2 linked regions of the Arabidopsis thaliana genome follow. The protein of the gene in region 1 interacts with the protein of each later gene in a pairwise test. Each region holds a gene or a part of one and is shown on either strand. Other genes may lie near its edges.

Region 1 (5,022 bases):
TTGTTTTGGCCGAGCTAAAACACATCATAATCCTATCAGCTAGTTATGAAAAATTAACAGTGAATAGATTCAAAATGCAAGACTAGCCACAGAACATACCATTCCCCAAACGATGAATGGAAAGCCACCCATTGCGTATAAAGCAACCGCTAGAGCCAGCGGATGCAAAATGTAGGTGGTTCGAAGGAATCGATAGAATGGCTGCTTCTCCAAGTCCCCAACATTATTAGGCTCTCCACACTTTAAACATCATATACAAAACAGAGTTTTAGAATACAGTTTTCAGAAAAATATTAATATGAAAAAAGAGAAGAAGCAAATCGTTACCCTTTGGGTGATTGTATTGGTATCAAACATCCAATTCATGTGACTGAACCAAAACCCATCAAGTGGGCTATGAGGGTCTCTGTCTGAATCACAAAACTGATGATGGTACCTATGTGTACTCACCCAATCAATTGGGTTTCCCTGAAGAAAACAACACACAAACATCAATCACACAATTTGTGACAAAATTACACATTCAACAAAAACTACATTATCATCAAATCAAATCACCTGAAGAGCTTGAGCTCCACAATAAGCAAACAAGTACTCAAGCCATTTAGGTAGCTTGAAGGCTTTATGAGAAAGATTCCTATGGAAAGACAGAGTAATCCCCAGAAGACCTGTAACGATATAAAGCCCAAAAGCAACCGAAACAGCTCTCCAATTGAATTGAAACGGAGCCAAAAGACTAAGCAAATGCATAGACAAAACGACAGCAACAGCTCCAAAGTCCATAGCTTTCCATTCTCTCTCCCACCAAACTACTTTTTCCTTCTTCTTCACCAACACATCAGATAACATTATCCTTCTGTAATCTCCCTCCGTCGCTGCAGCAGCTGTGGTGACATCTCTCTTCAAACCCTTTTCAGAGAATGCAACAACGAGACTAGGAGGCTTGAAAGGAGCAAGCTTTTGGTGATGGGTGAATGAAATTCTGGTGAAATTCAATGACGGTGTTGCTGTGTTCAAAGTTCTTGGAGATAACGATGGTGAACAGAGGAAAACGGGTTTGGGTTTTGTTAGAAGAGAAGCCATTATCGATGTGATGGCTAAGAGAAAGAAGGAAGAGAAGAGGCTTAAACCCTTAACTTATATACTAGTAGTATAAATATGTTAATATGTGTGCGTGTATAAATAAGGGTCGGTCTTTTTTGTATGCTTCACAATTAGTAGTACTAGTTGTGATGACAGAGACGTGCAAGATCTCATCTTTTTTGTGGTTCACGGGACTACATTGCGGCTAGATTTGGAAAGAGAGGATAAGATGGTTTTAGGGATTTGGATTGCCAATTTGGGGCAGTTATCTAAAACCCGGATCTTCTCTTCAATTTTTCGAGTTGTTTTGCTGAAAAGCCCGTGTTTTTCTTGGAAAGTTAACAAATCACCCCAATATTTGCTTTCAAACAATTGGGCTCATTGATCTCTTGAATGGGCTTATTTTGGTTTTGAGCCCATTCTTTCTTATTCATTAAAGGAAAAATCCCAAGAGTGAAAGGGACATGTTCCATAGACCTTACATTTCAAATTTGATATTTGTCTCTATGATACTTAAGTCTTTGTTTGTATGTGTAAGAAAAAAATTCTATAGTAGATATTTGTATTTGTGGTGTGAAAAATCCTTATCTTGAAGCCATATATCAATTACTTACATATTTTTCTCCTTCTTTCATCCCCAAAAAAGGTTTCTCATTAGATCGGTATCGATGGCTGCTGCCGCTAATACCTCCGCCGTTTTCGCCTCTCCGTCGCAGCCTTTATCCTCGAAACGTAGTTTTTGTAAGTATTTTCACTCAAATTCTTGATTCATTTATGTCAATCTATAATACTAGCTATATAACGAGTTAAAACTAAAGCTAATGAATGATACAGTGTACAGTTCAAGGATTGGTCCAATACTAAGGAGATTTCCGAGGAAGAAACTTGATCTCCAAGTTAAAGCTGTTGCCACGACTCTTGCACCTCTCGAAGAGATCAAAGAGTCTGTCTTTATTTTAGTTCATCGTGTTGCTTTGGTCGATATAACTATATGAATATAATAATAAACATAGTTCATGATTGATTATTTTGATAGATACAAGCTTCCTTCATGGGCCATGTTCGAGATGGGTACTGCTCCTGTGTACTGGAAAACCATGAATGGTCTTCCACCAACCTCAGTAAGTTTCTCTAGCTATTTTCAAGTGTTGAGGCTCTTTAACTCAATTAACTTCTTACAAAACTTTTTTGGATTAGGGTGAAAAGTTGAAACTTTTCTATAATCCAGCTGCAAGCAAACTCACTCTTAACGAAGACTATGGGGTTGCTTTCAACGGTGAGTTTCTCATAAAACATCTAATTAAATTAACTTGTATTCCGAGTTGTCCCAACGAGTTGGCGCGGTTAGGGCGGCTGTTTAATGGGGCTACCACATACTGTATAATTGTTTTCGTACAAGTACTTATAGTTAGCAGTCTAATCGTGGGGTTTAGTCAAGTAATTATTTCTAAGTGTGGCTTGCAAGTGATATATTTTCATTTCCAAATTAAATTAGTAGAAAGCTACATAGACCAGTCTTATGGAGTACTTATAACAACAAAAAAAATGAAAATATTCAATTGGTTACTAAATGGTGCAGGAGGATTTAACCAACCAATCATGTGTGGTGGGGAGCCAAGAGCAATGCTTAAGAAAGATCGAGGCAAAGCCGATTCTCCGATATACACTATGCAGATTTGCATTCCTAAGCATGGTTCGTTTTCTTTTATAATCAAAAATCAAATCATGGTTTGTGACCAAATAGTTATTTGTATTAATTTGACACTTTTATCTTTCCTATGAATCATTATCAGCTGTGAATTTGATATTCTCATTCACTAATGGTGTCGATTGGGACGGTCCATACAGACTTCAGTTTCAAGTCCCCAAGCGATGGCAAAACAAACCTATTGAGTTCTTCAATGAGGTATGTAATGAATTTCTTTTCAAATTTTCACAACTACTTATCATCTATATATGCAATATGCAAAACTTATCATTTATCAATTGGTGCAAAAAGGGTCTAGCGAACGAGTTGAGCCAAGATGGAGCCTGCGAAAGAGCAATATTTCCTGACTCGAACGTTGTTCCAACTCGTTGCACGATGATCGCCAACTTGACGGTCGAAGGAGTAAGTTCTCGCCAAACTATGTCCTATAAAATTTGAATACACTAAATTTTAAAATGTATGAACAAATTTCAGGGAGATAGATGCAACTTGGATCTAGTTCCTGGATGCATGGATACAAATTCAGAACATTTCAACCCATATGCTAATGTTGATGATGGCTCTTGTCCCCTCGAGTTATCCGATTCTGATGAATAGAACTAATTTTTATTTATGTAAATATATATACACATATGTTAATATCAGTATTTGAATACAATAAATGTGTTAGATAAGAGCTTCACAATTAAATTATCTGGGGGTTTTTAGCCACCCAATATTATAAATGTTCACTTGTTGATCTATTTATTAGTTGAACTAACAAATTAATATAAAGACTACTATATTGGAGAACTTTTCAACCAAGAACTTTGCATAAATTAGTTATACGAAGACCTAATATACACATATACCATTTAAAAAACTCAATGAGGCAGCTTCACAATCACGTACACATTTAGTAATTAGGTTCAACGAATGGTATTCAATTAGAACCATTTAATAGAAACTAAATTAAAATCATTAAACTTCAACTAAATGTGTTTCTAAACGTTTTAAGAAGAAATAGATTTAGTGTAATATACAATTATTTTGCCGGAAAAAAAAAATAGATTTAAGTGACTAGAGAGTCTTTTGAAATCAAACTACAACGAGTATTCCGTAAATGTCTCTTGCTCATCTCTTCGTACTTCCCGGCCAATGAGTCAAAGAGAATCCCAGCGCCAACTCCAACCGCAATATCAATCGTGTAGTGTCCTCTCGTACCAAGCAGCCTGATGGATTGCAATACATTGAGAATGTCAAAAACCATCGCCAGCCTAAACCTCTGCATTCTCTTCATGTCCAACGATGCGATCATCGATCCGGCGACGTGACCTGAGTAGAAGAGGAAGAACGACACGTTTCCGACCGGATAATCTACTCCTGATCCTAAAAATTCCTGTAAAAAGGGTTAAATAAGTACCTTAATCGTTCTTTTAAAAAAATATTGAACATATTAATATAGACAAGACGAACATAAACCCATGTTACAACACAAAAGTAAAAGTAAATGAAACAAGATTTATGCTAAAATCAAGGGAGTACAAATTAGCAGCCCTTTGAGAACATTCTTTTTGCATATAAGAAAGAGTCCATATTGTCAAATTATTTGGAGACACTAATATAAACTGCTTTTTTATACGGTAGTTACCAAGGGAATCACATGTCCACGACAAGGTATCGATCAATAAGAAAACAGAGAGAAAGATTTAGATGTGGAATTGAACCTGAGGGCGAGGGAGCTGAGTAGAGTAGCCGAGAATGCCACGACAAGTGAACATGAATAAAGCCGCGATGGTTGCCCGTGGTCGTCCTTCCACTGCCCATGTACATCCAATATACGTTGTTTGCATCCCTACCAAAATCTGTCCACACCCCCAACCAAAACAATTGATTAAAAAAAATGCAAAATTAAGTCGAATTTAACTAGTCTCTCTTTGTTGCATGTGAATATCATAATGCGAGGAATTTGAGGATAGTGTCATAAAAGATGTGTTTACCGTGTTTAAAGCGGCTAAAACGGTGTTAAGATTGGGTGAAGATGCCAAGATGCTATGCAGATAACGTGTGGCCACAAATCCTAGATCAAACGGCTGAGAACTCGCAGGAGTCATCTGGAACGTGTACTCCACAACCGTAAAAAACATAACTCCGGCCGCGAATAAACACGGTATCCAATGGTGTCTCGCCACGTAAATTATGTCATGCATCGTCCACGTCATAAACGACGCTTTGCTTGTCCATTCTCCTCC
Region 2 (5,589 bases), on another chromosome or scaffold:
ACACATTCAAGAGAGGGTTATGTAATATATACCTTGTATTTTTGTTTGTATCGTCTTGAAACAGAGGCGTGCGCAAGCAACAAATTATGGCCTACAATATATGGTTCAATGGAAGAGTTCCCTGAAGAACAGTTTTTGCTCGGTTTGGAACAACGACCAGGCGGTGTATCCCCATCGTTGTAACCTCCTATAGAGAATATATTAGCCTCGTTGATCGTGGTCCATAGTTTGACATGGTTCCCAAACTCTCTGAAGCAAACATCTGCATAAGTAGTAAAGTCTTTGCTGCAATGGCAAATAACATCAACTTTTGTTATTTTATCTTAAACTACAAAATCTGTAAGAGAAAATAAGTAACGCCTACATCATTCTGTGGTTGAGCCATCCTCCATATTCATCCTCCAGAGACTGAGGATGATCATAGTGGTAGAGTGTAACATGTGGTTCAATTCCTGTAGTAAGTCTACTTAAACTCTAGTTAATACGAACTAAACCTAACTCTTGAGTCCTACCGTGGATATGAAGATAGGTCTTACCGTGGCTTACTAACTCTTGGATGAGGTTCTTGTAGAACTGTAGACCCTTTTGGTTAACAGGCCCTCTTCCATCTAATCAGATAATAAATTACGAACTGATCATAAATTTGATCCCTTCACTGAGCTATAACATGTTTAAGAAAACTTACTAGGTATTAGCCTAGACCAAGAGATGGAGAATCTGAAAGCATCTAAGTTAGTGTCCACCATCAACTTCACATCATCCTGTATAAATTCATAATGAAACTCAGGCTTGATGAATAAAACCTCATGATGTAGTCAGAGAAACAGAGAAGCTAAAGAACCTTGTACTTGTGATACCCATCACATGCTATATCTCCGTTACCTTGGTCACCTGCAATGTTAGAAACAAGAATCAAAGCACAAGAGTGACAAACTCTAATACTAATAATAGTTTGTGTTAAAATGAAAAGCTTACGAGAGTGACAAAGAGTGTCCCACAGGCTAGGTTTCCTTCCGTCTTCTGCAGCAGCTCCTTCCCACTAGTAGAGACCAAACATTTGGTTCAGTTTTGTTCAAAAGTTAAGAAAAAAGAAGCTCATAAATTGGTTCCAAACCTGATAAGCAGAAGTGCCGGCTCCAAAGACGAATCCCTCAGGGTAGTCAGATCTGCTGAAAACGTCGCTGCATTTCCCGGAGAAAGCAAAAGCAAGAAAAATGGCAAACAGAGCCAAAATCTGTTCCATTTCTCACACACACACACACTCTTTTCTTCGTTCCATGTTAGAATAAGTAAGTCCAGTAGCCATTTGCGTACCCGCTAGATATAGTTGTGACGTAGACATTAATGATGATGCAATTTAGATAAGAAACATATTGGGAAGTGTGTTGAAATGAATTATGGTCTTTATTTACTATGATAAGAAACAGATTACGCTGGATCGGAGCCCAGGTCTGACCAACCCAAATAACGAAAGAAACTAGGGGACCGGAAAACCATGCGGCTATGCAGCCCCAGCCCCACATATATGAGGGCTTTTGGGCCAAAAAAATATTTTTGGACTTTTTGTTACATTTCAATTTTTTTTGGGTATTCCTAAATTTTTGTTAATAGTATGGACTATGATATAATAACTTTTGAGGTATTAAAGTAAAAATATTTGGTCCTCTTATAAAGAAAAAAATATTTTATTTCATAAAACTTAATAATTATTACAAAGCATAAAATATTAAACATACATTATCTTAAAATTTTAAAATAGATGTGAAAAAAACGGAATAACGATAAGTTTTTCTGTTGATTGTTGCAAATTTCAATATACGAATACTTATAACGATGTTTTGAATTGAAATTTTCTACGAATACTTATAACGATATATATAGTAAAAGAGAAATTTCTTAACTTATAATTAAACACCATTAAGTAATGTATGGAGGATTAACAAAATTGGATATAAAACAAGAATGTATAATGTTCATTTTGACGCCATTTCTTCTTCTTCATATTTTACAATTTACACTAAACATTTTCCCAAATTCAGCTCATAATCAAGTGCGCCTCATATTTTCGCCAAATTCATCTAATTGAAAACCCAAATTTCAATATACTCATGTCTTGTGAAGCAAACAAATCTCTTATTTCGCATTTCTTTGGGCTTCGCAACATTATTGGGCTTTGTTTGGGGCCCATTTAGAATGAAGAAGTACTTTAGTTAAAAACTCAGATAAACCTAGCCGTCGTCACCGTCACCGTCTCCGTCGAAATCCCCATTACTTACGACACCGCGAGCTCTCAATCTTCTTCTTACACTCTATTGCTTGTGTTTCCTCTTCACTACAACAGTTTCGTGTACCAAAGGCAGTTCTTTCTTTTGTCCCAAGGTAAGCTTTGTGATTCCTTGAGACTGTGTTGATGAAGCACAGACTCAGAGACTTTTGGTTTATGATTCTCTTTATCTTTGTGACATGAAGCAGAGCTAAAGAAAACATGGGAATACCAGATGCAGCTCAAGACTTGTCGACAGAGATGGAAGTTGATGCTTTTAGAAGAATCTTCCCTCTTCGTTTCTTTGAGCGTCATCTCTCTGAATCTCTTCGTCCTGATGGAAGACAACTTGGAAAAGCTAGAGACACCATTGTTAATCTTGGTATAAACAATGAAGATTGATTCTTTTTAGTTTTTATCAAATTAAAAATGTCAACTTTATAGTGGTTTCTTGTGTTTGTTGTAGGACTTGTTTCAACTGCTGATGGGTCTGCTCTTGCTAAGATTGGTTCCACTGTAAGAACCCGCCTTAGTCGTTTCGATAGTATTCACATGATCAGCAATGTTTTGCTTACATAGTTGTTTCGTGTTTATAGACTATGCTTGCTGCTATTAGAATGGAAGTTATGACTCCTTCTACGGACTCTCCAGACGAAGGATGCATAGGTTGTTATCTCGTTGTCTTGTTCTCTATGTGGTTTGTTGTTCTTCTTTGGTGATTCATTTTGTGATTCCTTTTTGGTAGCTATTGAGTTCCATATGCCTCCAATTTGTTCTCCGACTGTTCGTCCTGGAAGACCAGCCGAAGCTGCTCCCGTTATTTCAAAGCGTTTGTCTGATACTATTTTAAGGTGTGTTTTGGTTTGATCTTTCTCTTTATATTTTCTCTGTCTCATTGAGCATCAAATACAATGTTCCTTCTAAAAGTGTTTCTTTTTTGTTCTAGTTCTGGTATGATTGATCTTAAAGAACTGTGTCTAGTTAGTGGAAAAGCTGCTTGGATGGGTTATCTGGTGAGTACTCGTTGGTCTTATATCGGTGCTTGTCCGTCAGTTGATTCACATCTATTCTTCTAGGGATCTTTCTCTTTGATATTTAACTGAGTTCTCTAGCATATATATGAACATTGTTGCTCTCTGAAATTTCTCATAGGACATATATTGCCTGGATGCTGATGGTGCTCTCTTTGATGCTGCTCTGCTTGCTGCTGTCGCAGCCTTCTCCAATCGTAAGTTCTTCTCTGTTCTCATCCTTTAGTTGGTTTCACAGCTCCTTTAGAGAACCTTTGAATAAAGCTGATTCTCAAGTTTATCAAATCCATTTCGAATATGAGTAAAAAGAGCAAGCCTTAGAGAACACTTAAATCTTGCTGAGTGAGTCATACCTGAGTAATATTCTTCCCTGCACAATAGCGGTTTGTTCAGAAGTTGTGTGATTGGTGTTCCGAGACAGAAGAATTTTTCCTCTGATGCATAAAATATCTTTTATATTGCAGTGCAAATTCCAATTGTTGCTCTGAATGACAATGGAAGAATAGTTGCCGTCACTGGAGAAAAAGATCAAGACAATGCTTTGATCACCGAGAAAGAAGCAGTGAACAAGGAGAAGAGAAAACTTACGCTTAAGAACATTCCTTTCTCTTTAACTTGCATACTTCACAAGAACTACATCTTAGCAGATCCAACAACCGAAGAAGAATCGATCATGGACACTCTTGTGACTGTTGTTTTGGATTCCTCGGATCAAATGGTTTCTTTCTACAAATCAGGAGGAGCTGCTCTCGCCTATTCATCAGCCATCAAGGTGAGAGTTTTAGCTTTCTCTTAGGTTAATCCACCACTTGATTTACACCGTTTTTTGTTTCTTATAAAGTTGCTATGCGCAGAGCTGTGTCGAGTTAGCAAGGAAGAGAGCAAAGGAGCTTAAGCAGATATTGGGAGAGATGGATATCGACTAATTTATCAGATGGAACGATTCCATAACATTGTTGAAATTTTGTGTTACATATTTTAATCAGATCACCAAGTTACCCATTTAGAGGCAAAGGAAGAAGCTCTTCACCATTTTTGTTCGATTGTGTTACGGTTTTGTTTGTCATATAACGACTTTAATTTAGTGCTAGTGTAAGTGTGAGATTATATTATCTCCATTTCAAACGAACCGAAATGTGCGTAAGCTGATTAATTTTACAAATGTTCAAATCAAAAGCAATTAACAAGTTTGTTTGTTGACCACCATCGCAAGTTTGTTTTTGATTAGGCTTTTCTGAATTTTTTTATGTTATAATGTAAGGGTATGTTAAAATATTATTCCATTTAAAAGAGGCATTGTAACAAGAACCATTCTGAATCTGTGAAAGAAATATTCCATACTAGACGAGGAAAGTCCTCGAGAGACTAATTAAATACTAAATAACATAAAATCATTCTGAATCTGTGGAAGAATCATATGCTAAGCGAGGAACTTCCTCCAAAGACATGAGACTCTCAGTGTGATTATGATAATAGCGGACCTCTCTTACATTTTTATGATTAAGCTTCCAGAATTCTTCGTCACCAATTCCTTCATATAATCATATTTGACCCTCCTTACTAGGGTTCTTTTTGGATCATAATATAAGACATAAATTGCTTCAGATGTTGTTGCAGCTGTATAAATAAACTCACCAGTGGATCATGAGTAATACCTCTCAGCCCCCAAGAAACTTTCCAGATCGGGTCACGTTGAGGAAATTTTCTAAGTGACCGTTCTTGTTTCTCTTCATCCTCCAAAACCCAAAATCATTTACCAGAGACGTCGTCAGAGCAAACCCATGCAAATTTTCCTTCGTAGTTGAGGAAAAATTTGCAAAGTAAATTATCAGCCGCTGATTTTCTTATTGTGTTGAACTTTTCGTACCTCACATCGAAGCTCATAAGGACTTTCTCAACTTCAGAACTATCATCGACTCCAAAAGGTATACTCGCTTCATAATACACTTCCCCGTTGATACATATACTTTGTATTAGTCCCTCGGCGGATAGAGGGACATGTTTAGGGGTATTTTGTGTCACTCTCCATGATTCTTGAGGTCCCAAAGTAAAAACAAGAGGATCTTGGTATCTAGAGCATGAGATGCACAAGACTTTATACTTACCCTCGACCGGATCATATCCTAAAGAGCTACATTCAAATGCGACTTTTGGTAAGGTAACATGTTGTCTCATGATTGGATTCCAAACTACAATATGCCCCAAGAATCTCCCAAACATATCAAGCCATGGACCGACTGGGACCATTCGTGATAATCAAATATGAGAGTGTCTTTCAGATAACGCTCCACATGT

The links. Proteins that work in one complex are often made in the same cells at the same time.
Region 2: the proteins of PIFI (region 1) and AT1G60080 interact in a two-hybrid assay, tested with the Arabidopsis thaliana proteins (one large-scale study listed by BioGRID).

What each region holds. Positions count from the first base shown.
Region 1 is NC_003074.8:5,355,148-5,360,169, reverse strand, and holds PIFI (post-illumination chlorophyll fluorescence increase), read left to right. Parts: upstream 1-1,573; 5' UTR 1,574-1,751; coding exon 1,752-1,824; intron 1,825-1,901; exon of another isoform or gene 1,902-1,904; coding exon of another isoform or gene 1,905-1,917; coding exon 1,918-2,026; exon of another isoform or gene 2,027-2,099; coding exon of another isoform or gene 2,100-2,119; coding exon 2,120-2,204; intron 2,205-2,280; coding exon 2,281-2,359; intron 2,360-2,662; coding exon 2,663-2,776; intron 2,777-2,876; coding exon 2,877-2,989; intron 2,990-3,082; coding exon 3,083-3,193; coding exon of another isoform or gene 3,194-3,197; intron 3,198-3,265; coding exon 3,266-3,388; 3' UTR 3,389-3,583; downstream 3,584-5,022. Other genes in the region: FAD5 (fatty acid desaturase 5), read right to left, coding at 100-240, 328-468, 559-1,083; AT3G15830 (phosphatidic acid phosphatase-related / PAP2-like protein), read right to left, coding at 3,843-4,169, 4,498-4,635, 4,771-5,022.
Region 2 is NC_003070.9:22,151,236-22,156,824, reverse strand, and holds AT1G60080 (3'-5'-exoribonuclease family protein), read left to right. Parts: upstream 1-2,181; 5' UTR 2,182-2,379; intron 2,380-2,472; 5' UTR 2,473-2,485; coding exon 2,486-2,645; intron 2,646-2,729; coding exon 2,730-2,779; intron 2,780-2,859; coding exon 2,860-2,929; intron 2,930-3,008; coding exon 3,009-3,114; intron 3,115-3,209; coding exon 3,210-3,276; intron 3,277-3,415; coding exon 3,416-3,491; intron 3,492-3,758; coding exon 3,759-4,066; intron 4,067-4,148; coding exon 4,149-4,220; 3' UTR 4,221-4,595; downstream 4,596-5,589. Other genes in the region: BGLU4 (beta glucosidase 4), read right to left, coding at 33-285, 365-452, 537-608, 686-761, 842-891, 976-1,039, 1,115-1,243.